Tribolium castaneum: one gene and its partners. The protein of the gene in region 2 purifies or fractionates together with the protein of the main gene of each other region. This does not show direct contact. Links are inferred from orthologs where the notes say so. Each region holds a gene or a part of one and is shown on either strand. Other genes may lie near its edges. The genes, in order: Nop56, probable 28S rRNA (cytosine-C(5))-methyltransferase, ribosome biogenesis regulatory protein homolog, 60S ribosome subunit biogenesis protein NIP7 homolog and pre-rRNA 2'-O-ribose RNA methyltransferase FTSJ3.

Evidence for each region.
Region 1: the proteins of probable 28S rRNA (cytosine-C(5))-methyltransferase (region 2) and Nop56 fractionate together in Homo sapiens (co-fractionation; 3 studies listed by BioGRID and IntAct, with this or other methods). This does not show direct contact. The link is inferred for Tribolium castaneum from reciprocal best matches to the Homo sapiens genes NOP2 and NOP56.
Region 3: the proteins of probable 28S rRNA (cytosine-C(5))-methyltransferase (region 2) and ribosome biogenesis regulatory protein homolog fractionate together in Homo sapiens (co-fractionation; 3 studies listed by BioGRID and IntAct, with this or other methods). This does not show direct contact. The link is inferred for Tribolium castaneum from reciprocal best matches to the Homo sapiens genes NOP2 and RRS1.
Region 4: the proteins of probable 28S rRNA (cytosine-C(5))-methyltransferase (region 2) and 60S ribosome subunit biogenesis protein NIP7 homolog purify together in Homo sapiens (affinity purification with mass spectrometry; 3 studies listed by BioGRID and IntAct, with this or other methods). This does not show direct contact. The link is inferred for Tribolium castaneum from reciprocal best matches to the Homo sapiens genes NOP2 and NIP7.
Region 5: the proteins of probable 28S rRNA (cytosine-C(5))-methyltransferase (region 2) and pre-rRNA 2'-O-ribose RNA methyltransferase FTSJ3 fractionate together in Homo sapiens (co-fractionation; 3 studies listed by BioGRID and IntAct, with this or other methods). This does not show direct contact. The link is inferred for Tribolium castaneum from reciprocal best matches to the Homo sapiens genes NOP2 and FTSJ3.

What each region holds. Positions count from the first base shown.
Region 1 is NC_087395.1:14,127,399-14,131,619, forward strand, and holds Nop56 (nucleolar protein 56), read left to right. Parts: upstream 1-1,764; 5' UTR 1,765-1,896; coding exon 1,897-1,899; intron 1,900-2,014; coding exon 2,015-2,586; intron 2,587-2,636; coding exon 2,637-3,531; 3' UTR 3,532-3,601; downstream 3,602-4,221. Other genes in the region: wfs1 (wolframin), read left to right, coding at 1-1,691. UniProt on the Homo sapiens protein: Involved in the early to middle stages of 60S ribosomal subunit biogenesis. Required for the biogenesis of box C/D snoRNAs such U3, U8 and U14 snoRNAs. Part of the small subunit (SSU) processome, first precursor of the small eukaryotic ribosomal subunit.
Region 2 is NC_087395.1:22,665,132-22,670,092, reverse strand, and holds probable 28S rRNA (cytosine-C(5))-methyltransferase, read left to right. Parts: upstream 1-1,984; 5' UTR 1,985-2,082; coding exon 2,083-2,191; intron 2,192-2,234; coding exon 2,235-4,321; 3' UTR 4,322-4,388; downstream 4,389-4,961. Other genes in the region: serine/threonine-protein kinase pelle, read left to right, coding at 1-999, 1,264-1,413, 1,459-1,866. UniProt on the Homo sapiens protein: S-adenosyl-L-methionine-dependent methyltransferase that specifically methylates the C(5) position of cytosine 4447 in 28S rRNA. Required for efficient rRNA processing and 60S ribosomal subunit biogenesis.
Region 3 is NC_087399.1:2,009,856-2,014,692, forward strand, and holds ribosome biogenesis regulatory protein homolog, read left to right. Parts: upstream 1-1,742; 5' UTR 1,743-1,968; coding exon 1,969-2,111; intron 2,112-2,157; coding exon 2,158-2,647; intron 2,648-3,660; coding exon 3,661-3,917; intron 3,918-3,971; coding exon 3,972-4,098; 3' UTR 4,099-4,113; downstream 4,114-4,837. Other genes in the region: tubulin monoglutamylase TTLL4, read left to right, coding at 1-601, 682-733, 1,229-1,335; uncharacterized protein LOC103314109, read right to left, coding at 4,136-4,300, 4,348-4,511. UniProt on the Homo sapiens protein: Involved in ribosomal large subunit assembly. May regulate the localization of the 5S RNP/5S ribonucleoprotein particle to the nucleolus.
Region 4 is NC_087402.1:3,023,508-3,026,638, forward strand, and holds 60S ribosome subunit biogenesis protein NIP7 homolog, read left to right. Parts: upstream 1-1,287; 5' UTR 1,288-1,400; coding exon 1,401-1,456; intron 1,457-1,508; coding exon 1,509-1,734; intron 1,735-1,780; coding exon 1,781-2,041; 3' UTR 2,042-2,070; downstream 2,071-3,131. Other genes in the region: protein SPT2 homolog, read left to right, coding at 2,245-2,304, 2,389-2,556, 2,601-3,131.
Region 5 is NC_087395.1:17,626,538-17,631,354, forward strand, and holds the start of pre-rRNA 2'-O-ribose RNA methyltransferase FTSJ3, read right to left. Parts: upstream 3,206-4,817; 5' UTR 3,050-3,205; coding exon 2,983-3,049; intron 2,936-2,982; coding exon 2,178-2,935; intron 1,473-2,177; coding exon 1,224-1,472; intron 1,174-1,223; coding exon 41-1,173; intron 1-40.

The DNA of each region.
Region 1 (4,221 bases), about 8.5 Mb from region 2:
TTGTTAGTGCCGACAATATTTTGTATTTTTTTCCCTTGGTTCTCTATTACGCTAGTTTTATCGCAATGGTGATTTCGACCTTTCAGATGTTGCAAATCAAGCGCGAGTTTCACGATTTCCGGTTGTGGTCCGGTTTATTTATCACGTACTCCGGGGGCGATTTGAATTCGGAAGATGCCGAGTTTTTGTACGTCCGGAATAATCTCAAACCGTACGCCCTGTTTTTCGGCTCACTTTTACTAAATTTCCTAGTCTACCCCGTAATAGTTGACCAGTGGATCCCCCAGTCTGAATTAATGATAATTTCGTTCTGTCTCACGTTTGCAACCCTTCTAGGCTTCATGTACAAGAGACGGGGGAAGACAGTTTTCGACCTTTTGGTGTTTTTCAGTTTTGGGATTAACGTCCTTGCGAAATACCCCTACGAGACTGATCCAGTGGTGGCACAAGGTTGGCGCTTTCTCGACCTAAAAATCCCAACTTTCGCCAGCTATGTGATAGGAAACGGCATCGAATTTTGTATCAATTTCCGCCTGTTTCTCTACATGTTTATCCCGCTTTTGTTGGTCAAAATCGCCTCACGCCAGGATTGGAAAGGCACGTACCAAATGTTGATCCCCCACTGTGTGACCCTGAGCTGGCTCCAGGTGTGCATTGTGAGCTCCGAGGGGGCCACAATGTACGGCCTGTTGCGCGGCAGCTTGGCCTTAGTGGGGGTGGTGCTGTTCCTGCCCCTAGTGGGGCTCACAAGTGTGATACTCCCCGCAGCTGCGCTAGCGAAATGGGTCGTGGCTTCGAATTTTTTTCTCGGGGTTTGTGTCTTCGTGGGGGCCACCGGGTTAGGCCTGGCGGTATGTTGGGTTTGTGCCCAAACGAGGTTCAGCAAAATCACCGCTTTTATTCAAGTCGTTTCGACGATTTTTGCTGTTTTAACCCTCATTAAGTCAAATTACAAAAATGAGGAACACTATTTTGAAAATAAACTACCCGAGTATTTGTCGTGGGACGTTTATCAGCGGTTTTGCCACCAGCCGGTGTGGCAGGAGGAAAACATCGCAATTGCTCAAGTGAAGTGCTCCGAACTGCACAACTCGCACATCAATTGGGACGGTTACATCAACGATATTAAAATTTCGTCGATCTCGAATAAGTTCCAAACGATTATTGATCACTTCCCTGTGACTTTGCGCCATTATCTTTACTGTTTTTACGGGGAAGAGACTCGAAATGATTGTACTGATTTCCCCCCCGCGGTTCGTGAAGAGTGCAGCTCGTTCTACAATGCAATAAAATCGACTAAAACGTGTTCGCTTCAAAAATACAATTCGTACACGTTTGAAATAACAACGAAAGTGCAGTCAGCGATTTGGGGCAAAAGCCCCGAAGTCACTCTTGTAGTTGACGATTATTTTCGAAATTTCACCCTGGGGCTTAAGCCAAATGACCACATTTGGTTCAAAGGCACGTTGTTTAATAACGAGGTTGTGGGGTCCGATGGGATTTTAGGGGGGTTCAAAACCCATGTAAAATTGGACGAAATTGGTTGCCTTGCGTGTAGTAATAATAAACTGACGAATGTTAAAAAAGAGATTGAATCTAGATTTGATATTAAGAATGTTATTGATGGTCTCGTTTTGGGACTCAAGTTTGTCCTCAATGTTATTTTAAGTCCAGTCGTAGTGTTTAAGTGATTTGTTACGTAACTTATTGAGAATTGTATTTATTTATGTTAATAAATGTAAGAGATTATTTAAGTTGTGCGCCAGAATTTAAATTTTCGTCAGCTCCACCACTACACTGCCGTAAAAATTACCAGCGAAATCGCGCAAACACGTGTGATTGTGATGCGTGCTGTTATAGAATTTAATTAATTTTAGCCCAATTTTATGCCTAATTATGGTAAGAATTCAATATTGCATAACTAGAACATTGCTAATTGCTCGTTTTTTGGAACAAGCAAAGTTATAGCAATGTTTGTAAATATAACCTCACTCTAGCGCCGCATGTTTTTCAGTCTAAACTTTATGTGTTATTCGAGCACGCTGCCGGCTATGGGGTTTTCAAAGTGCAGGAATTTGAAGAAATCGGTATGCTGCTGCCCCAGTTGGAGGCAGCCGTGCACGACCTAGCCCGCTTCAATAGCGTAGTCGAACTCGTTGGTTTTTCGCCGTTTAAAACAGCCATTGCGGCTTTAGAAAGCATCAATGCAATCTCGGAGGGTGTTTTACCCGAAGATTTGCTACACTTTTTGGACATCACAGTCCCGAAAAGTAAGAAAAAGAATAAGCTTACGTTGGGGGTGAGTGACCCCAAGTTGGGGGCTGCCATCACCGAAGCGCTTGGGATACAATGTAGCCACGTCGGAGCTGTCCCGGAGGTAATCAGGGGTATCAGGCACCATTTCCATAACCTTGTGAAAGGTTTCACTCAGAAAAGCTCAGCCGTGGCCCAACTGGGGCTCGGGCATGCATATTCACGAGCCAAGGTCAAGTTTAACGTCCACAGAGTTGACAATATGATAATACAATCCATAGCTCTTTTGGACCAACTCGACAAAGACATCAACACTTTCTCGATGAGAATTCGGTACGATTTTGCGAATTGTCCAAATTTTCTTTCTAACAAGTGTATTGCAGCGAATGGTACTCTTACCATTTCCCGGAGTTGGTGAAAATAGTCCCCGAGAACTACACCTACGCCCGTTTGGCAAAATTCATCAAAAACCGCAAAGAACTAAGCGAGGACTCTCTCGAGGGCTTGGAAGAAATCACGATGGATTCAGGCAAAGCCCAGGCGATTTTGGACGCCTCCAAGTCCAGCATGGGCATGGACATAAGCGTTGTTGATCTACTGAACATCGAAATGTTTGCCGGCCGGGTGATAGCTCTAGCCGACTACAGAAACCAACTTTCCGAATATTTGAAGACAAAAATGACCGACGTGGCCCCAAATCTGGCCAAACTAATCGGCGAACAAGTGGGGGCGCGCTTGATCGCCCACGCTGGGTCTCTGACAAACCTTGCCAAGTACCCGGCGTCCACGGTTCAGATCCTCGGGGCTGAAAAAGCCCTTTTCAGGGCTCTTAAAACCAGGGGGAACACCCCGAAGTACGGCTTACTCTTCCACTCCACTTTCATAGGGCGAGCTGGGGCTAAGAACAAGGGGCGCATCTCGCGATATTTGGCGAACAAGTGCTCGATCGCATCGCGAATCGACTGCTTCACTGAACAACCGACGCAGATTTTTGGCGAGAAGTTGAGGCAACAAGTTGAAGACAGGCTCAAGTTTTACGAGACAGGGGACGTCCCCAAGAAGAATATCGAAGTCATGAAGGAGGCGATGGAGGAGTTGGAGCAAGAAACGGCGCACAATAAGTCCGAGAAGAAGAAGAAAAAGAAGAAACATAAGCTGAACGAGACGAGTGAGTCTGTGGGAGAGAATGGCGTGGACCAGACGACCAATGGGAATGCAGATGAGGCGGAGGAGCCGCCCAAAAAGAAGAAGAAGAAAAATAAGCAGGAAGTTGAGTAATTGTTTGTTTGAGAGTCGGGTATTTTTATTCTTGTATAATCTATTATTTTTAAATAGATACTTGATCAAATTGAGGTCGTAATGCTTAAACCTGTTATCCTACCAATAAAACCATGGGTAATATTCACAACAATTTATTTTATATGTTTTTACAATAAACTAAATGAGCGGAATGTTCAAACAGTTACTAACTGTAACATGGATAGTGTTATCGATAATAAGGCACCACGGTATCGCAACCTTCAACGAAAAAGAAAAAACTGCCGATAGGTCGAATTTGTTTTTATTTTATAGAAAATTATTAACAATGCAATATTGCTTTATCTGTTTGCTAACAGAGCCGATTTTGCTGTTCCTACAAATTAGTTGTATAAATAGTTGCGTAATACTAAATAAAATATGAACAAACTTAAATGTACCCAGCACCCTCATGAGCATTGTAATACAACCAAACGGACTATACAAAATATGTGCAAGAAAACCGTTTTTAAAAACTATAAACGCAAGACCAATTGGCTCAATCTCAACGATTAAAGTACAATCTTTGGAATTTCGAATAAAAATTAGGTGCTTTAAAAGCTTGGAAACAGTTGCTTATTTGGCTGATTGAAAGCATTCGTTTGGGGGAAGCCTTGAGCGTTGAAGTTCATCGCATATTGATTTGTTAATTTCGGTTGATTAACGGGTGAG
Region 2 (4,961 bases):
GCCAAAGGGCCAGCGGCCCCAGTTGTGTTCAATCCGGACGAGTTACTAGACCCGGAGACGAAACGAATCGAGAAAATTCTGGACGAGATCAACTACCCCAGTTCCGCAATCGAGAATATCAACAAACTGAATTCGTTTAACACAAACTTGAATTACAGCGGCAAAGAAACGACGAAAGTGATCCCCAAGATTATAATCAGCGAATCACCGGATGTGGAAGAGACGCCGCCGCCGTTTCGGCTACCGGTCGTTGTCCAGAAAGTCAAGTCTGAGTCGGATTTGATTAAGTTTTCGCAAGAATCGGTTTCAAACAGCGATAATAACGCAAATGTGCCGCATTTGTCGTCGCTTTTGACGGATGAGGCGTCCAATAATAACATTCCTGCCGTAATTAGCGATTTAGTGTCACAATCGAGCTCAGAAACCACTGAAAATGCCGATTCTGCGGTCAACAGACCGGAGTTATCGTCACTTTTGAACCAGTCAAGTGACGACTCTGAGCCCAATTTCAACGTTCCTGCAATCAGCGAATTGAGTCTGGCGTCAAGTTCCGACTCTTCGTCAAACTTCCCCGCTTTGAGTCAATTAATCGATTCTGAGAAAAATTCGCGGTCGTGTTCGTCGCCGCTCCCGAACTTGTCGCTGAACACTCCTTTGCCACACTTTAGTTACTGTGATTTAGCAACGGCGACTAATAACTTCGACGAGACACCGGTGGCCCAAGGGGGCAGGTTTTTGGGGTCGGGGGCTTTCGGTAAAGTTTATTTGGGTGTGGGGTTGGTTAGTAAACCAGTGGCGGTGAAGAAAGTCATTTTGGAAAATGTTGACGTCGTTCGAGTTGATGATATGGTTACTAAACAGTTCCGCAACGAAGTGGAGATTTTGAGTAAATATGAGCATGAGAATTTGGTGGCTTTGAGGGGCTATTCGTGCGATGGCGACACGTATTGCTTGTTGTACGAGTACGTCCCTGGAGGGGCACTCAAGGACCGGCTACAGGTCAGTGTTTGCCTACTGTGAGTAATTTTTAAAATAAAAAAAAAACAAACGAGATAAGACAATAATTGGGAAAATGAAAAACTTTTGTTAATCTGATTTTGTTTAATAGTTTTGAAATTTTTTGCCTGAAAATTTCATAAAAAATAAACAACTCGAAAACTAAAAGTCCTAGCAAAACGGTTTGTTGAAATCCAACAATTCTAGGTCAAGACCTAATAATTTTCGAAAGATTTTTTTCTTAAGATAATTAATAATTAATTTTAGAAACATGAGTTGATTTGGACGGAAAGGCTGTATGTAGCAATGGGGACAGCGAGGGCGATTGCGTATCTCCACACTGCATACGCAAGCCCCTTGATTCACCGTGACGTTAAATCTGCAAATATTTTACTCGACAGTAACAATAAACCAAAGGTTGTTTTTCGGTAGTTTGTTACAAAATAATCACTTTTTCTTCAGTTGTGCGACTTTGGGCTAATTAAACGCGCTCTCAACCAAAATACAAACACCGCAACTACAATTTTCGGGACTTCGGCTTACATGGCACCTGAGGCTTTCAGGGGAGACGTTTCAGTAAAGTTGGACACTTTCAGTTTTGGAGTCGTTTTGCTTGAACTACTCACTTCAATGCCTCCAATGGACGAAAGCCGGGAGGGAGTCGATTTGGTTACTCATGTGCAAGAAACCTGCCAGGACGGTATTAAACCATTGTTAGACACAACAGTTGGCTCATGGATGGCCAATAGTATTAATTTCGGCGAGAAATTATACGAGATTGCGACGAGTTGTTTAAAGGAGAAGAAAGAGAGACCCACTATGACATCAATTTGCGGTATTTTAGGCGATCTAGTCCAGAAATTTTTATAAAAGAATATATTCCATCAAATGATTATGTTATTTGACCCGCTTAAAACCCTCTTCCTCTGATTGGCTCCTATTAAATTCGTTATTCTATGATTGGACGGTTTGAAAGCTGTGCCAACGTAAATCACAAGTTGGTCACATTGAACGTCAAGATCCCTTAACCTTAAACTTGTGTTTTCACGTTTCAAATGCAGCACGTGTGTTTTATGAATCGGTAAAATGGGCAGAAAAGCGCGGTTTAACACGGAAGGAGTCCTCGTTAAACGAGGGCCTGGCAAAAAGGCAAAAAAACAAAAGGACCCGACGTTTCCGAAAGCGTTACTCAATGGTAAAAATACACGAGTGGTTTTCGTGTCTTATTGAACTTGTAGGTGATTCCGACGCGAAAAAACTGAGCCACAGACAGAAACAACGTTTGAAGAAAAGACTAGTTAAGAGGAAAGATGTGGCAAAAGTCGCTAAAGAAAGTAGTGAGTCAGAGCAGGAGGATGAAGAAGTGTGGTTGAAGCCTTCTGTGAGTCAAAATGACACGAAGGTTTTGCCTGGCGAGGGTTTCACGGACGATAACAAGTCCTGGCTGAAGCCCAAGCGGCAAGTTGTGATTGAATCTGAGGAAAGTGACGAGGAGGATTGTAAAGTAGGGACTTTGAACGACGTTTCGGACGATTCTGAACCTGACGATGACGACCTTCTCCCGATTGAAAAGGAGAACAAGATACTTAAGCAGCAACAAGATGAGGAGGAGCAGCTCGCTGAGGACGAGCTCCAAATGAACATTGCAGACAGCGAAAAGTTCAAACTCCCGTCAAAGAAAGAACGCGAAGAGACCGCAAGTTTGCAGGAAGTGCAACAACGCATCCGTGACGTGATCGGAGTCCTCTCCGACTTCACCAAACTCCGCGATGAGAAACACTCACGTTCCGACTACTTGGAGATGCTAAAAGCCGATCTTTGCACCTACTACAGCTACAACGACTTCCTAATGGAGAAGTTCATGCAGCTGTTCCCCCTGACCGAAGTTTTGGAGTTTCTTGAAGCCAGCGAAGTCCAAAGACCGTTGACCATCCGCACCAACAGTCTGAAGACGCGGCGTCGCGACCTGGCCCAGGCCCTGATTAACCGCGGGGTTAACTTGGACCCGGTGGGAAAATGGAGCAAAGTGGGCCTCGTTGTGTATTCTTCCCAAGTTCCGATCGGGGCGACCCCTGAGTATTTGGCCGGTCATTACATTATTCAAGGCGCTTCGAGTTTGCTACCGGTCATGGCGCTAGCGCCGCAAGAAAACGAGAGGATTCTGGACATGGCGGCGGCCCCCGGGGGCAAAGCCTCGCACATCGCCGCGCTGATGAAAAACACGGGGGTCTTGTTCGCTAATGATGTCAATAGCGAGCGAATCAAGGCAATCGTCGGGAATTTCCACCGGTTGGGGGTCGTTAATTCGGTCATTACGTGCGTGGACGGCCGAAAATTCCCGAAAATTTTGAAGGGATTTGACAGGGTCCTGCTGGATGCGCCCTGCACCGGGACGGGGGTTGTGGCGAAGGACCAGAGTGTCAAGACTAGCAAGGACGAGCAGGACATTCAGCGGTGCTATAATTTGCAAAGGGAGTTGCTCTTGGCGGCGATTGATTGCCTTAATGCCAAGTCGGAAACCGGCGGATATTTGGTTTATTCGACTTGTTCGGTGTTGCCGGAAGAGAACGAATGGGTGGTTGATTACGCTCTGAAGAAGAGGAACGTTAAGTTGGTCGATACGGGACTGGAATTCGGGAATGAAGGCTTTACGAATTATAGACAGTTTAGGTTTCACCCGAGTTTGAAACTGACGAGGAGGTTTTACCCGCATACGCATAACATGGACGGGTTTTTTGTGGCCAAGTTTAGGAAATTCTCAAATTTGATTCCGACGACTGCGGGCGAGGAGCAGGGCGAAAAGAGGGAATTGGAGGAGGAAGTGGAGGTTGAGGAAGTTAGCACTAAAAAACAGAAAAAGAATGGAGAAACGCAGCCGAAAAAGGCGAAGAAAAGTAAGGAAAATAATACGAGTCAACAAGAACTGAAGGAGAAAAGTAAAGAAATTAATACGAGTAAACAAGAACAGGACGAGGAAGTGAAGACTAAAAAACAGAAAGCGAAAAAGGTTAAGCAAAATGGGGATATTAAGGACAATAAACAAGAAAAAAATGCGGTTGTAGATGATGGTAAGAAGAAGAAAAATGTAGTGCAAAATAGTAAAGCGGATACGAGGAAAGAAGGAACGAATTCGCCGAAAGATAACAAATTGAAAAAGGAAAAGTCCGCAAGTCCGGGCAAGAAGAATGTGAAGACTGGTGAAAAACTCGATTGGGACAAAATTCCGAAAGAAGCTAGTGTGAAGCTTAATAAAAAGATTAAGAAAGTTAAGAAGAAACAAGTTGGTGTTATGAAGAATAAAATGTTCAAAAAGAAGCATACATAAAATCAATCATTTTTATTTAAATGTTCATTTTTTATTAATAAAAATAAAGCAATTATGATTAAGTATATATGTGATTTTTTATTGCTTACAAAAAATACCATCATTATTTTTATTCCTGATAACTCCGTAAAGCACCACTTTTGAAATAAACTAAATAAAGTAAAGATTTAAAAAAATCTTTAACCTTTCTGGGTTAAATGGAGACCGACATTCTTGTAACTTTTTTTCTTACATTTTTTAATTTTTTCTTTGTATTCGCAGCTGAAGAAAATTGGACGTATTGCAGTTTTTTAATGTTTTTTTCTTATGTTTGTCATGAAAATTTCAATCTTTTTTCTAAACTGTTAGTGAACTGCTTATTTAATTTAATTTAAATAAATTTTCAACAATTCGTAGCTACGAGTATGACGGTTTAACGCTCAGTATTCTCCTTTTTACTCGGCCGCTTGAAATTTTTGGGCACAAAAAAATAGTTTATATTATCTTAGCTAACAAACTACGTTTTATCTCAAAAAACGTGTTTGAAGATTTGAAAAATGCAAGCATGGTTCTATTTTTTGATTTATTTTCAACGAATAAATTGTGTACTGAAATGCAGAAAATATGTTACATATGCGTATGTAATGAAGTTTTCGTTTTT
Region 3 (4,837 bases), on a different chromosome or scaffold from region 2:
GTGCGAAGAAAACATGCTCAGTCGGTACAATTGCTACGAATTGTTCGGGGTCGATGTCCTACTCGATGAAAATCTCAAAGCTTGGCTACTGGAAGTGAACATTTCGCCCAGTTTGCATTCAGCCAGCCCGCTAGATGCACATGTTAAGGGCCCCCTTGTCCAAACCTTATTTGATCTCGCACAGTTCCATTTTCCGCCAAGGTTGTCTCAAACCGTCCGTCACAGCCCCCAATGTTTCGACCCCAAATTGTACACAACTTCGCTCACGAAAAAAGAGCGGGAAAAGCACACACTTTTCGAACAGTATGAGTCACGACACGACTACCTCGACGATATTTTGGCCGAATTGACTGGCGATGATGTGCGAAAGTTGACGCAAGCCGAAGACGAGTGGTGTGTTAAGGGGCGTTTCGAGAGGATTTTCCCCACCTCGCAGACGCACAAGTATTTGAATTTCATGGAAGTTCGGTATTATAATCGGCTGTTTGATGCGTGGGAGTGCCGATTTGAGAGGAACAGGCAGGAAGGGATTAACTTATTGAAGGCGTTATGCGCCGAAAAAGTGCACTTAAAAGTGGCGCCGCAGAGTACGCTACACAAGGTAATTTCATTGCGTTAGTTAAGTGTGGGGGTTGAGTTTTTGTTTCAATTTTTTTTGTTTGGGTGGTACTACCTACCAAGGCGAGACATTTCGTACTGGCAACACTGCAAAGCGTTTGTTCACAATGTCGCAGTAAGTCGGGACGTGGTGTTGTTTGTGTGTCTACACTAATGGCATATGAATTTTTTTCTATCGTCTAGTTCTAATTCCCGCAGGATTTTAGTCATAGCAGATAGACACGTAATAGATTAAAATTACTAATAGGTAGGACATAGGAGTACTAATTTCGTGTTAGGGGTTTCTAGTCACAGATGGCCAACTTAAAAAGCTCGGTTGAGTTAATTTCCGTCCAGATGGCGCGAATTTTAATTCTTGTGTCGAAACGTGTGCCCTTTTGAAAAAATTGGAGAACGGTGGACAGGTGTGGGAAAGTGGATATTTTTTTCTAAGGAGTCGGCCGTCTGTATGTCTGTGTAGTTGGGATTTTAGAAGAAACTGGGCATTTATTGAAAGCAATTAAACATTTATTACGTTTTATAAATAAATGCCCAGTTGGGCAAATAGTTGCACGACTTAGTTAGGGTCCCACAGTTGGTTGGGCCAATCTGACAGCTTGTAATTCCCCAGAATTCGCTGAGTACGAGCCATGGGTGTGCGAGTCTGCAGCCGTCGAGGGAAGGCCAGAGTCGGCCTCTTGCAGAAATCCTGCAAGAGGTCACAATCGAAAGCTCTAGCTGTAATTAACTGTATAAGTGAGTTGTTTGTTGCGGTTTTTCCCGTTCTAATCAAGTGGCGGTTTCAGATGGAATTCTAGAAGTGTGTTTCTTTTGTTACGAATGAGGACAAACACCAGCATTTAAACTGCCAAATTTGTACGTTGTTTTAATTCCTTGTTAAATTATTGTAGCGAGATATTCCATTTACATTTGCATTTACAGCAAAGTGTTTTTTAATTGATTTTTATTAGTGTATTGAGTCTGATGAATAAAATATTTCTTTTACATTAAATGTCTTCGTCTGGGTCCGGGACCGCGTTCCTCGGGATCTCAATCCTCTGGACTGTGACGTTGAGTTGCATCCTTATATCCAGCAAAAAGCACAGAAACAGGATAAAGAGGGGCACCTTGAGACGCAGGGTGTAGCCCAGCTTGAGCAGAAAAAGCAAAGGTTCGGCGAGTGGCATGACTCAGCACCACCACGATCACATTTTTACAAAGAAACGCCCAGATTTTGGCAAAATATTTTGAAATTGGTTGACATTTGTCAGCGACAGGTGTCAGTTCGCCAGCCGAATCTGGGGATTTTCGCTCCACGTGTAACCGTTTTGTCGCAAGTGAGGTTAGAATCCCCAGACAGGTTTTAACAACATGGATGTTGTTAAAACAATTTTGGAAAAATCGGCCAAAGAGGCCGAGAAATACAAATCAGTGGAAGTTAACAAGTTGGTGAGCATCGATTTAGGCGCCTTGCTGGCCGAAGACCTGAACCCGCTCGATCCCGGCGCGTTGAGGTGAGTTTTGGGGTCCGCTGAGCACGCTTTTCTGACCCAATTTTAGGAGCTCCACCAACGATTATTTACTGAATTTGACTCGGGATAACACCCAGTTGCTGTTTAACCAAATCTGGGAGTTGCCCACGGAGCGGATAGACGAAGCAATTGTCGCGAAGTTGCCCAAGCAGAAGTTTTGTTTACCGCGCTTCAAGCCCGTGCCGAGGCCCAGGCCGCTGACCAAGTGGGAGCAGTTCGCCAAAGCCAAGGGCATAGTCAAGAAAAAGAAGAGTAAGTTGTCTTGGGACGAGCAGCTGCAAAAGTGGATCCCGCTGTATGGTTTCAAACGGAGCGCCGCCCTCAAGGAGAAGGACTGGCTGATTGAAGTGCCACAAAATGCGGACCCTTTGGAAGACCAGTTCGCCAAGAAAGTCGAGGCTAAGAGCGAAAAAGTCGCCAAGAATGAACTGCAAAGGCTGCGCAACGTCGCCAAAGCGAAAAATGTGAAAGTGCCCAGGTTCGGGCTCACCAACCCTGAGGTTTCGTCCGCAAAAGACGTGAGTTTTTGTATTTTTATCGTGTGTACGGCCGGAAATTTAAGTGTTGCACCAAGTTGAAAAATACGTGAATTTGTGTTGTTTTATTAAACGTTTAAAGTAGTTGCTTCTTTTTTAATAATAATGATATAACAATAAGCCGTCTTTATTCGAACCGTAAATACAACTCGGGAGGCGAAATTGAACTTAATTCCCTTAAGAAACGAAGAAGTAAATGAATAAATGAATAAATTAAATTGACAAAAATTGCTCTAAAAAAATAATAGCAAATAAAGCAAGAAGAAAATAACAAAAAGCAAAAACAATTTTGGAAAAAACTATAGATCTAAACATGAGTGACAAATAATAAGGCCATAGTTAAAGTTGGAAAGCATCAAAAAAGATTGGCGGAGTTTTTGTCAAATTTTTTTCTGAACCTTAAAAAGGTAAAAAAAATAAAAATTCAAAAATTTAATTCTGGATTTCCGGAAAAGTAAAACTAAGCTAGCTTTTAAAATACTGTTATGAGCGATTTTTCACTTGTATAAAACCAAAAATTAAACTTTTATGGAAAAAAACAAACAAAAGAAACAACAAAAAAATAATAGAATAATATAATATTGGCATTAAAAAAATCAAGTTAGCCTTGTTTCCCCAGAACAAATGACGACAGAACTTTGATACACATCTGAGACGATAGAATTTACATAATTTCGAACATATACCAAATTTCATTAAGTTTTGATGAATAGTTTTTATAATATTTAAATGGATGCCTGCATATGATCTGAATAATTACATAATTTACGAATTCTGATATTTCTGAGCTGTATATTAAAAATAGAAATGGTCCCAAAATTGAGCCTTGTGGGAATTCCGGATGTAATGTTATCTGCCTTTGATTGTGAGCTGTCTATAGTAACAATTTAGTTTTTATTTGTTAAATACGAATAAAAAATTTGGAATTTTGTTAAAACCTTTAACATAAAAAGTATTAACTTTTTGTTTTCGAAATCAAAATGTTTGATTTTTAGTTGCAAGCGGCGGTAACAGTGGCTAAATCGTCAACCGCAAGTCTGGGAAAATTCCAAGACAAGCTCCCCAAGGAGAAGGAGGCGAGAGGCGTCGCTGCTATCACTCCCGGAGCGACGAGAAAACGAAAATTACCTCCAATTTCGGGTCAAAACGAGAAAAACCAAAACCTAAATCTCGTAGACGAGGTTTTGAACAAACGACCGAAGATAAATATTGAAAAAGCGGTAGCCCGACAAATAAACGACGAACAAGCGCAGTGAGTGTTTTACTCAGTCGGTGGTCCAAAAAATTCATATATTTTTTTTCCCAGGAGATCTGATGAGAAAAACCGAACTGGGCGCAAGAAAGGCCTGCGAAAGTCTGGAGGCGGCAAGAAGCCGAAAAACACGAACCGGCCCCGAAAGGGCAAAGCCGCCGGGGGCCGGAAGCGGCGCTAGTTTTGTTCCAATTGTATATTTTTACTTAGAGGTGAGTTTAAACATAGATTGTTTCTCCCTGTTTTTCCCATCCAAGACTCGGGTCTTTCGACACGGCCATGTAGACCAGAGTGCCCTCGCCTGGGAGGGGCTTAGCCGCCACGTAAGTCCGCTTATCGCTCGACCAGCGGCACATGAAATCGCGGCCTCGGCTCTCGTCAGCCTTAAATTACAAATCAGTTTTTTGTTTCAGTTAAGACGATTTGTTACTTTAGTGTCGAGTGGAGAAGGGCCGAGATAATCTTCACCTTGGACTGCCTTGTGGAGGACTTGGAGGAAGTACTTGAAGAAACTGTTTCGGTTTTTCTTCACTGTTGTATCGGTTGCTTTCAATTGACGCAACTTCAAAATCCATTTCTTACAAATTTCTTTGTCTGGAAGTGTGTATATAATCTAGAGTGACTTTTGTATATAACCAAACACGTTTTGGCCCATCGAAGTGGGCGAGAATTGTGGTTTTGTGCGCTGGATAAGGTTCCTAACAGTAGAGGTTTTACTGTTACGGAATCGGGGTGTATTTGAGAATCTAATAAAATCTTCGGAAAAAAATTGATTTTTATTTCCACTACTCGTTAGAGCATTTTAACTGTTGCCCTACGTTCATCACGTCATTTTACGACTAGAACGCGTATTTTTCGAGCACGACGGCGTAGTCGGAGTGCTCGAAATAGAGCAAGGATTCATGTTTTTTTTTACAATA
Region 4 (3,131 bases), on a different chromosome or scaffold from region 2:
AAAAGTGATATTTTGAGTGACACATTTTAAATACAGTAACTATAAATAAAATAAAACACTAAAATAATTTATTGCCACGTAATTTTGCCTTTAATTTCAATGAATGAAAGTGGCTTGCTCAAAATTTAATGCAAATAAACATTTTTTTTGGTTTCATTTTTATTATTATTTTTTTTTGGTTTCATTTTTATTATTATTATTTTTTGTTTACTTTTTATTATTATTTTTTTTAATGCTACAAACGGTAGCCAACGTGGAAGCGATATGAAGGTAGGTGTATTTTATTGCTGTGTCGTATTTATTTATTTCAAAAAACCAATAATTTCATAAAACTTAATTGCAATTAAAATTTTTGAATGCGGTATTGAAAAGTGATATTTTGAGTGACACATTTTAAATACAGTAACTATAAATAAAATAAACCACTCAAATAATTTATTGCCACGAAATTTTGCCTTTAATTTCAATGAATGAAAGTGGCTTGCTCAAAATTTAATGCAAATAAACATTTTTTTTGGTTTCATTTTTATTATTATTTTTTTTTGGTTTCATTTTTATTATTATTTTTTTTAATGCTACAAACGGTAGCCAACGTGGAAGCGATATGAAGGTAGGTGTATTTTATTGCTGTGTCGTATTTATTTATTTCAAAAAACCAATAATTTCATAAAACTTAATTGCAATTAAAATCTTTAAATGCGGTATTGAAAAGTGATATTTTGAGTGACACATTTTAAATACAGTAACTATAAATAAAATAAAACACTAAAATAATTTATTGCCACGTAATTTTGCCTTTAATTTCAATGAATGAAAGTGGCTTGCTCAAAATTTAATGCAAATAAACATTTTTTTTTATTTCATTTTTATTATTATTATTTTTTTTAATGCTACAATATAATATAATATAATATATAATATAATCGGAAAAATATGTTATTAAAAATCAACTATGATACTTTTGTTATTCAAGTAACTGTTAGATTTTTTTAAGGAATGCCACTCATGACACGTGCCCGATTTGTAGAGAAAAACTGGAAAGTACCGATGACACATGGGTTATATCTGAGGTGCCAGAAGCAGAAGAGATTAGCAAAGAAATCAAGTCCAGTTTGATGGAACTTGCTGAAGACAAGGAATCTCCATGTTTATCTTCTTAATAGTCTGACATATGATTTCATGTTGTTAAATGTTATTTTACGAATTGATAAATACATCTCAAAACATACTGTGTAGTTATTTATTCACGTCAAAAGTGGCGCGATCTACAAGTTCACCAATACCACAACAGAGAAAACAAAAGTTGCAAACGATTTGAAACAAAAATTAACCTAAAAAATAGTTACAGTCAATAAAACTTTAATAATTATTTGAATTGGTAATTGAGTAAAGCCGGCACAATGAAACGACTCTCTGAGGAACGAACCAAAACCCTGTTTGAAAAGCTGGCAAAATAGTAAGTGCTGTTTCCAAAACACTCGTCACGTGTGTAACTTTCCTAAATTTAGTATTGGGCCCAACGTAAAATTACTGATAGAGCGGCCAGATGGGATCTACTGTTTCCGTGAGCAAAAGGACAGAGTGTATTACATTTCGGAAAAAATCCTAAAATTGGCCGAAACTCTGCCACCAAACCAGCTAATCTCTGCCGGGACATGTTTTGGGAAGTTTACAAAGTCGAACAAGTTTCGGCTGCACATAACTGCGTTGAGTTATTTGGCGCCTTACGCCCAGGTGAGTTCGCGGTCACAATTACGCGGAAAATAACGAGTTATTTTAGTGCAAAGTTTGGCTAAAACCATCAGCGGAGCAACAATTCCTTTACGGCAATCACGTCTCAAAGGCGGGTTTAGGACGAATAAGTGAGAACACGGAGAAATACCAGGGGGTTTTGGTGTACAGTATGTCCGACTTGCCGCTGGGGTTTGGGGTAGCGGCGAGGTCCACAGCAGAGTGCAAACACGCCGACCCTCTGGCCCCCGTCTGCTTCCATCAGGCAGACATCGGGGAGTACATCCGATCGGAGGAAGATTTATTGTGATTTAAGAAATAAATTTTTACGAATTTGTATTATCCGCGTTTTATTTGGGGATTTTGTGGTTTTGTTTTGGCACCGTTTGCGCCTACTTTCGCGTTTATTTCAGTGATAATGGCGCATGATGACATGTACGACGTAAAAGTGAAATATGTCATGACATAAATCGGATTTTTCTCAGTTTTTTTGAGCAATTAGCACGGAAAAACATGGATTTTGGTACGCTTTTGCACACCGCCCAAAAAAATGAGAAAGGCTCCAAGAAAGAGGTAACTTTAGACACTTGTTACACCAACAAGAAATTTCTTCTGGAACTTTTCACCAAGTTCATGGATAATTTGATACAATTTTAGCCCGTCAGGTACTACAGTACCAAATTCGAGCCTCCAAAGAAGGAACAACGCAGTAAACAATTGTCGGAAAACATCAAAAAGTTTTTAGCGAAGAAGGAGGCCGAAGAGAGGGAAAAGAAACTCGAAGCTTTGAAGAAAAAGGAGGAATTGTTGGCTCTGAGGGCTAAGGTACGGCTCCGAGTGATCGTTTCAGTGTTTATGGTCGTTTTTAGGACAAAAAAGCAACAAGACGGGTTAATGTGATGTTAAAGCGTACTAAATCTGCAAACCAATCCGTGCTTCAAGACGCTGTTGATGCTAACAACACTTCGGTGACTTTAGCCGGCCCCATTCAGCCAGACGAGGATGACTATGGCTATGTCTCCCAGGAAGCGGCAGCGTTTTACAATAAAATGATGGAAAAGTACAGCAAAATGCCAGACGAGCCCAAATTTGGCTTAAACAAGAAGAAGAAAATAAGCACGGATTTAAACAGCACTAAGGAGCGGGTCAAGGCTGCTATTGAGAGAGAACGGGAGGAGGCAAACATGCCCCACAAAAGGCGAAGAAAGCACAAAGAGGAAGAGGAAGAAATTGAGAATGAGAAGCAGGAAGTGGCCCCAAAGCCTAAACCGAAACCTGCAGCGCCGCCCCCTTTAAACTTCAATGACTTGCTGAAACTGGCCGAGAAGAAGCAATTCGAACCCATAATAATTGAACAAAAGCCAAAGGAAGAGGAGAAATTGTTTACGAAGAAGCAGAAA
Region 5 (4,817 bases), about 5.0 Mb from region 2:
AATGTTTAAGATGAATGCAGTAACAATAAACAAAACTAACTGTTTGATTTGTCGCGCCTTTTCTCGATCCGTCACATCAACATTATCCATTAAATTCTCAACCTTCTTTTTTGCTTTTTCCAACTTCTTCAACGCCCTCTTCTTCTTCCTTGCCTTGGCTTCGATCACTTTTTTAATCGGACGCACATTCAACTCCTCCAAATGCTTCTTGTAATCTTGAACCAACTCTTTGGGAACCGCAGCTTCTTTCCTCATATGTTTCTCCTCATCTTTGACAAACCAATCAGGCAAGTTGTCATCATTAAAAGCGTAACGATTCCAAGCGGCGTCAATTATGTCACGTTTTGTTTTTTTGCTGTTGATCATTAGCGTACCCAACGCCAATTCTTTCTCAGTTAATTTATGTTTACGTTTCTTGCCTACTTTTTGCCCCTCGGGGACAATCTCAAAACCGTCCTTCTTTACGTTATTTTTAGGGGCAAGTTTCTCAAAATCCTCGTATTCGGAATCATCTGAATCCGAACTGTAGTCACTATCCGACTCTGTGTTTTTCGCATCTTCTTCCTCTCCGATAATCTTGGCTCCTTTCTTCTTCATTTCACTCACCAGTCGGTCCAAATCAGCGTCTTCGTCTTTCTCGTCTATTAGATTCTTAAAAGCGTCTCTTTCAAACCACATTTCGGCTTTGTGCACTTTTTTCTCTTCCTTACTTCTGTGGTCCAAGTCCGTTATGAGAGGATGTTTTGGTTTCGTTTTCGATTTAGTTTTCTGTTCTTCCACATCGCTATTTTCGCTATCGCTTAAATCTAGACCTTCCTTAATTTTCCCATCTTCGTCCTCAGACTCGCTTTCCATTTCCAACTCAGAATCTGAATCTTTATAATACAATCCTGAACTACTCAAATGTTGCTCGTCCTTGTTATAACGCAAATATTTTGATTTGATTTCATCTTCTTCATTGTCTGATTGAGCAAGAGTATCAGGCGTTTGATCAATAATTTTCTTCATCTGTTTGGTGCTTGTTACTTGTTTTAGTTCAAACATGCCGTCACTTTCCATTGTGGGGCCACTATCACCTTTCAAGACCATCTTCAAGTTTAATTTTTCGTTCAGCTTTTTGCGCTCCTTTTGAGCTTTTTTCTTTTTTCGCTTCAATTCGCGCTGCTCTTCACTCTACAAATTATATTTTAATTAGTCACAAATTTTGTTAAATAGTGTGTTACTTCAAGTTCCAATATTTGTTGGTGGACGTCCTTCAAATCATCCTCGTCGTCACTTTTCTCCACAGTTTCTTCAACCTCTTCTTCAACAGGTTCATTTTTCTTCTCAGAAAACTCTTCACTCAATGCCTTCTTCCAAGCCAAGAGCTTCTTCAAATCTTTCCTTCCCAAAACTTTAATATCCTTGCAACATTCTTTAATTTCGTTTGTAGTTTTTTCGTGATTTGTTATTTCTTCAACGTCAAAAACGATCTACAAAAAAATCATAAAAGCAACCAAATTATGTTGATCCTCTAGTTGATCCTATGTTTTCAAAATTGAGTACTTCCCCGAATATTAACGACAATTAGCATTTTTCATTAGCCAAGAATACGGAGGACTAAACTTAGGGGATGAAATGGGGTACAAAATCGCAGGATTTTCTGAACCCAAAGAAACAGTACGGCAGAGAAAAAATGAGGGCGCTTTAAAGTAGTTTCACAAAAAGAACTTTTGTGCAACTCCATTTAGTAAATTTTTAGGAGTTGTATTGGCAGTGCTGGGCTGTGAGTCATCACTGTAAAGCCCGAATAATTAACAAAATTAAGAGGAAATAGTTTGAACAGATTTTGATAAATTAAATTAAACAAAAACAAATAACAAAAATAGAAAGTACAAAAAATAGTATATTAAGTGTAATATACGTAATAAAACGAGTGCGTTTTATAAGACTTAATTGTGACACTCATTCTATTGGAGTACTCCTTTGTTGTGCTCCAAAACGATTCGTGCTACAATAAAACGTCTTATAAAACTTGCATAATAATATACTATTATTGCGAGATTTCAATAATGCAGAAGCGCAATTATTTCTCAAAATCTCTTTAAGAAAAAGTCACAAATTTACCAAATTATACTTTTCCCGAGTGTTTAATCACATCTATGGACTAAAAGTGAAGTTTTTTTGGGCGTTTTTACCTCAGAAGCCCCTTCTAGGAGTTCGATCCCTGTAGGGTGTTTAATAAAATCTGATGCTTTAATCTTATGATACAAAGTCCAATCATTCTCGGGGTACCCCTCAGCTTTACTCTTCTTATTTTTCTCAGGATGGTAAATATTCAATTTCTCTTTAGGCTCAATTTCCAACTCCTCAAAAACATATTTCGGGTCCATAAACTTGGAGTCGATTTTATCAGGTGCGATGTAGTGTTGACAAACGACGAAAATTTCCGCCGATTCATTACGCGAAGCTTGTGGTTTGGTGGCATGCACTTTTTTAAAAAACTGCTTCAAAACCCAAATCAGCGAATGGTAATCCTTCGAACGAAACACTTTGGTTATAAACCAGCCCCCTTTCTTCAAAAACTCACTGGCCAGTTTCAAAGAGCTCAACGTCAGGCATGCCTGCTGATAGGCATCATGCAGCCAATTCTTGCCCACATTTGGGGCGCCATCGTGCAAAACAACGTCGGCTTTCCACGTCTGCAGCTCTTTCTTGAGCGAGACGCGGCATTTCTCGGTCGTAATGTCCTCAGTCAGCGAAATGCACCCAGGAATGGGCTTAATTGGGAACAAGTCAATCCCAATGATGACGCTCGAAACGGGCATGTTCTGCTTGGCCACCTGCATCCAGCCCCCGGGGGCGGCGCACAGGTCGATGCATACTCGCGACTTCTGCAAAAACTCGAACTTGCGGTTGAGTTGAATCAATTTGAAGGCTGCACGAGACCTAAAACCTGAAGGCGAAAGTGAGGTTATGGTGCCAAGTTTTGGGAAAACGTACCGGTTTCTTTGGCCAATTGATAGTACTTATCCTTGCGCTGTTTCCCAATTTTAGTTTTCTTTCCCATGTTGGCGCTTTTTTAATTCTGGAAAGCGAAAAAACTAATTTGTTTTCAGCAAACACACATGGCTTTTGACTTTTGACAGAATGTCATTCGGAATTTGTTGTCCTTGTCGGGCAAACGAAACACACATATGACTATCCTTTTTGCGTTATCAAAAAGCAATGCTACCAACTCACATGTTTTAATTTGCGGTTTTTTGGCATTTTTTCAAAATTTTTATCCAGTTGTTATTATTAAATGTTTCGCTGATAAAAGGGGAAAAATAGTTTTATCAACCAATACAAATTGCACTGCATGGCGTGTCATTTTGACCCATTTGTTTAATTTTGTTTTATACATAAGAAAAGCAAAGTATGGGTTGTTAGTGCATAATAGAGTTTTGTGAAATTGGAACTGCATTATCAAAATTTCCATTTATTAGCGGCCTCTAAATGTTTGCGTCACGTGACCCCTCCTTGTGCGTCAGCCAATGGGAGGCGTTCGCGATGGTCCGAGTTTAACTAGCGGCTAGGCCCCGCCGGTCTACAAATGTTCGCTCAGTCGAAATGTTGCGAGCGAGGTCGGAACAGTACGAACAGACCATAACGGATTTCCATTTCAGCTGGGCTGGTTAAGTCTAAAGAGTTTTCTGAGTATTTCAAAAATAATTACATTAACAATCGGCATTGATGGGCATATTGGAATAGTGGTTTTTATGGAAATATGTTGCGCGTGGCTGGGGCTTCGCCCCAGTTAACTAAAAGGAAACAAACCCCACGACCAATTAAACTCGAAAACGTGGAACTCGAAACGTGGAATAGTGTTTTTTTATGGAGCTAGGGTGGCGTACAGTTCATAAACATAAACACTATTCCACGTTTCGAGTTCCACGTTTTCGAGTTTAATTGGTCGTGGGGTTTGTTTCCTTTTAGTTAACTGGGGCGAAGCCCCAGCCACGCGCAACATATTTCCATAAAAACCACTATTCCAATATGCCCAGGGTGGTGAAACCTAAATGCACCAAGCCAAGTATAGGCGCCAAATTCAAAATCGACTGTAGTTCGGCTTGCTATCGCAGATGTCGCACACACGTATAGTCAATTTTAGCGAAGCTACCTATAATATCGGCAGAAATTAACAGTGGACCTGTGACAGTTGCCATTGTGTAAATCGCCATTTTGTGCTTGGTTTGTTTGGTGTTCGCCTTCGGCTTTGTTTTATGTGAAATTAGTACTGTTTTGTGGTTTTTTTCGTGTGTGTGCTTTTTTGAACTTTTTTATTGTGGGAATATAAATAATTTGATGGATCAATCATTAGTTTATAGTTATCGTATCGTGTATATTGACTAGTGATAATAAATTTTTATTACAAGTTTATTGTCTTTATGTATTCTCATATTTTATTTTTCGTATTCTTTGTAAATATTCAGCAACAATAGTTGTCTAACATCAGAAAGTGTTATTAGCAACTATTGTTGTGAATATTTACAAACAATACGAAAAATGCAATCAAACTTTAAAAGAAAAGTAACTACGGGCAATTCAAATCGCCCGCCGATAACGCTTAGTACGCGCTGGCAACAATAGATGTGCTAGTGACACTTTCGCTCTATCCGGACAAGGACAGATGCGTTTCTGTAAAACCTGTTATTCTGTGAATATGCCCAGCTGAAATGAGAAGTCCGTTATGGTCTCCGTTCGTACTGTTCCGACCTCGCTCGCAACATTTCGACTGAGCGAACATTTGTAGACCGGCAGGGGCTAGCCGCTAGTCGAGTTTATTCTAGATTATT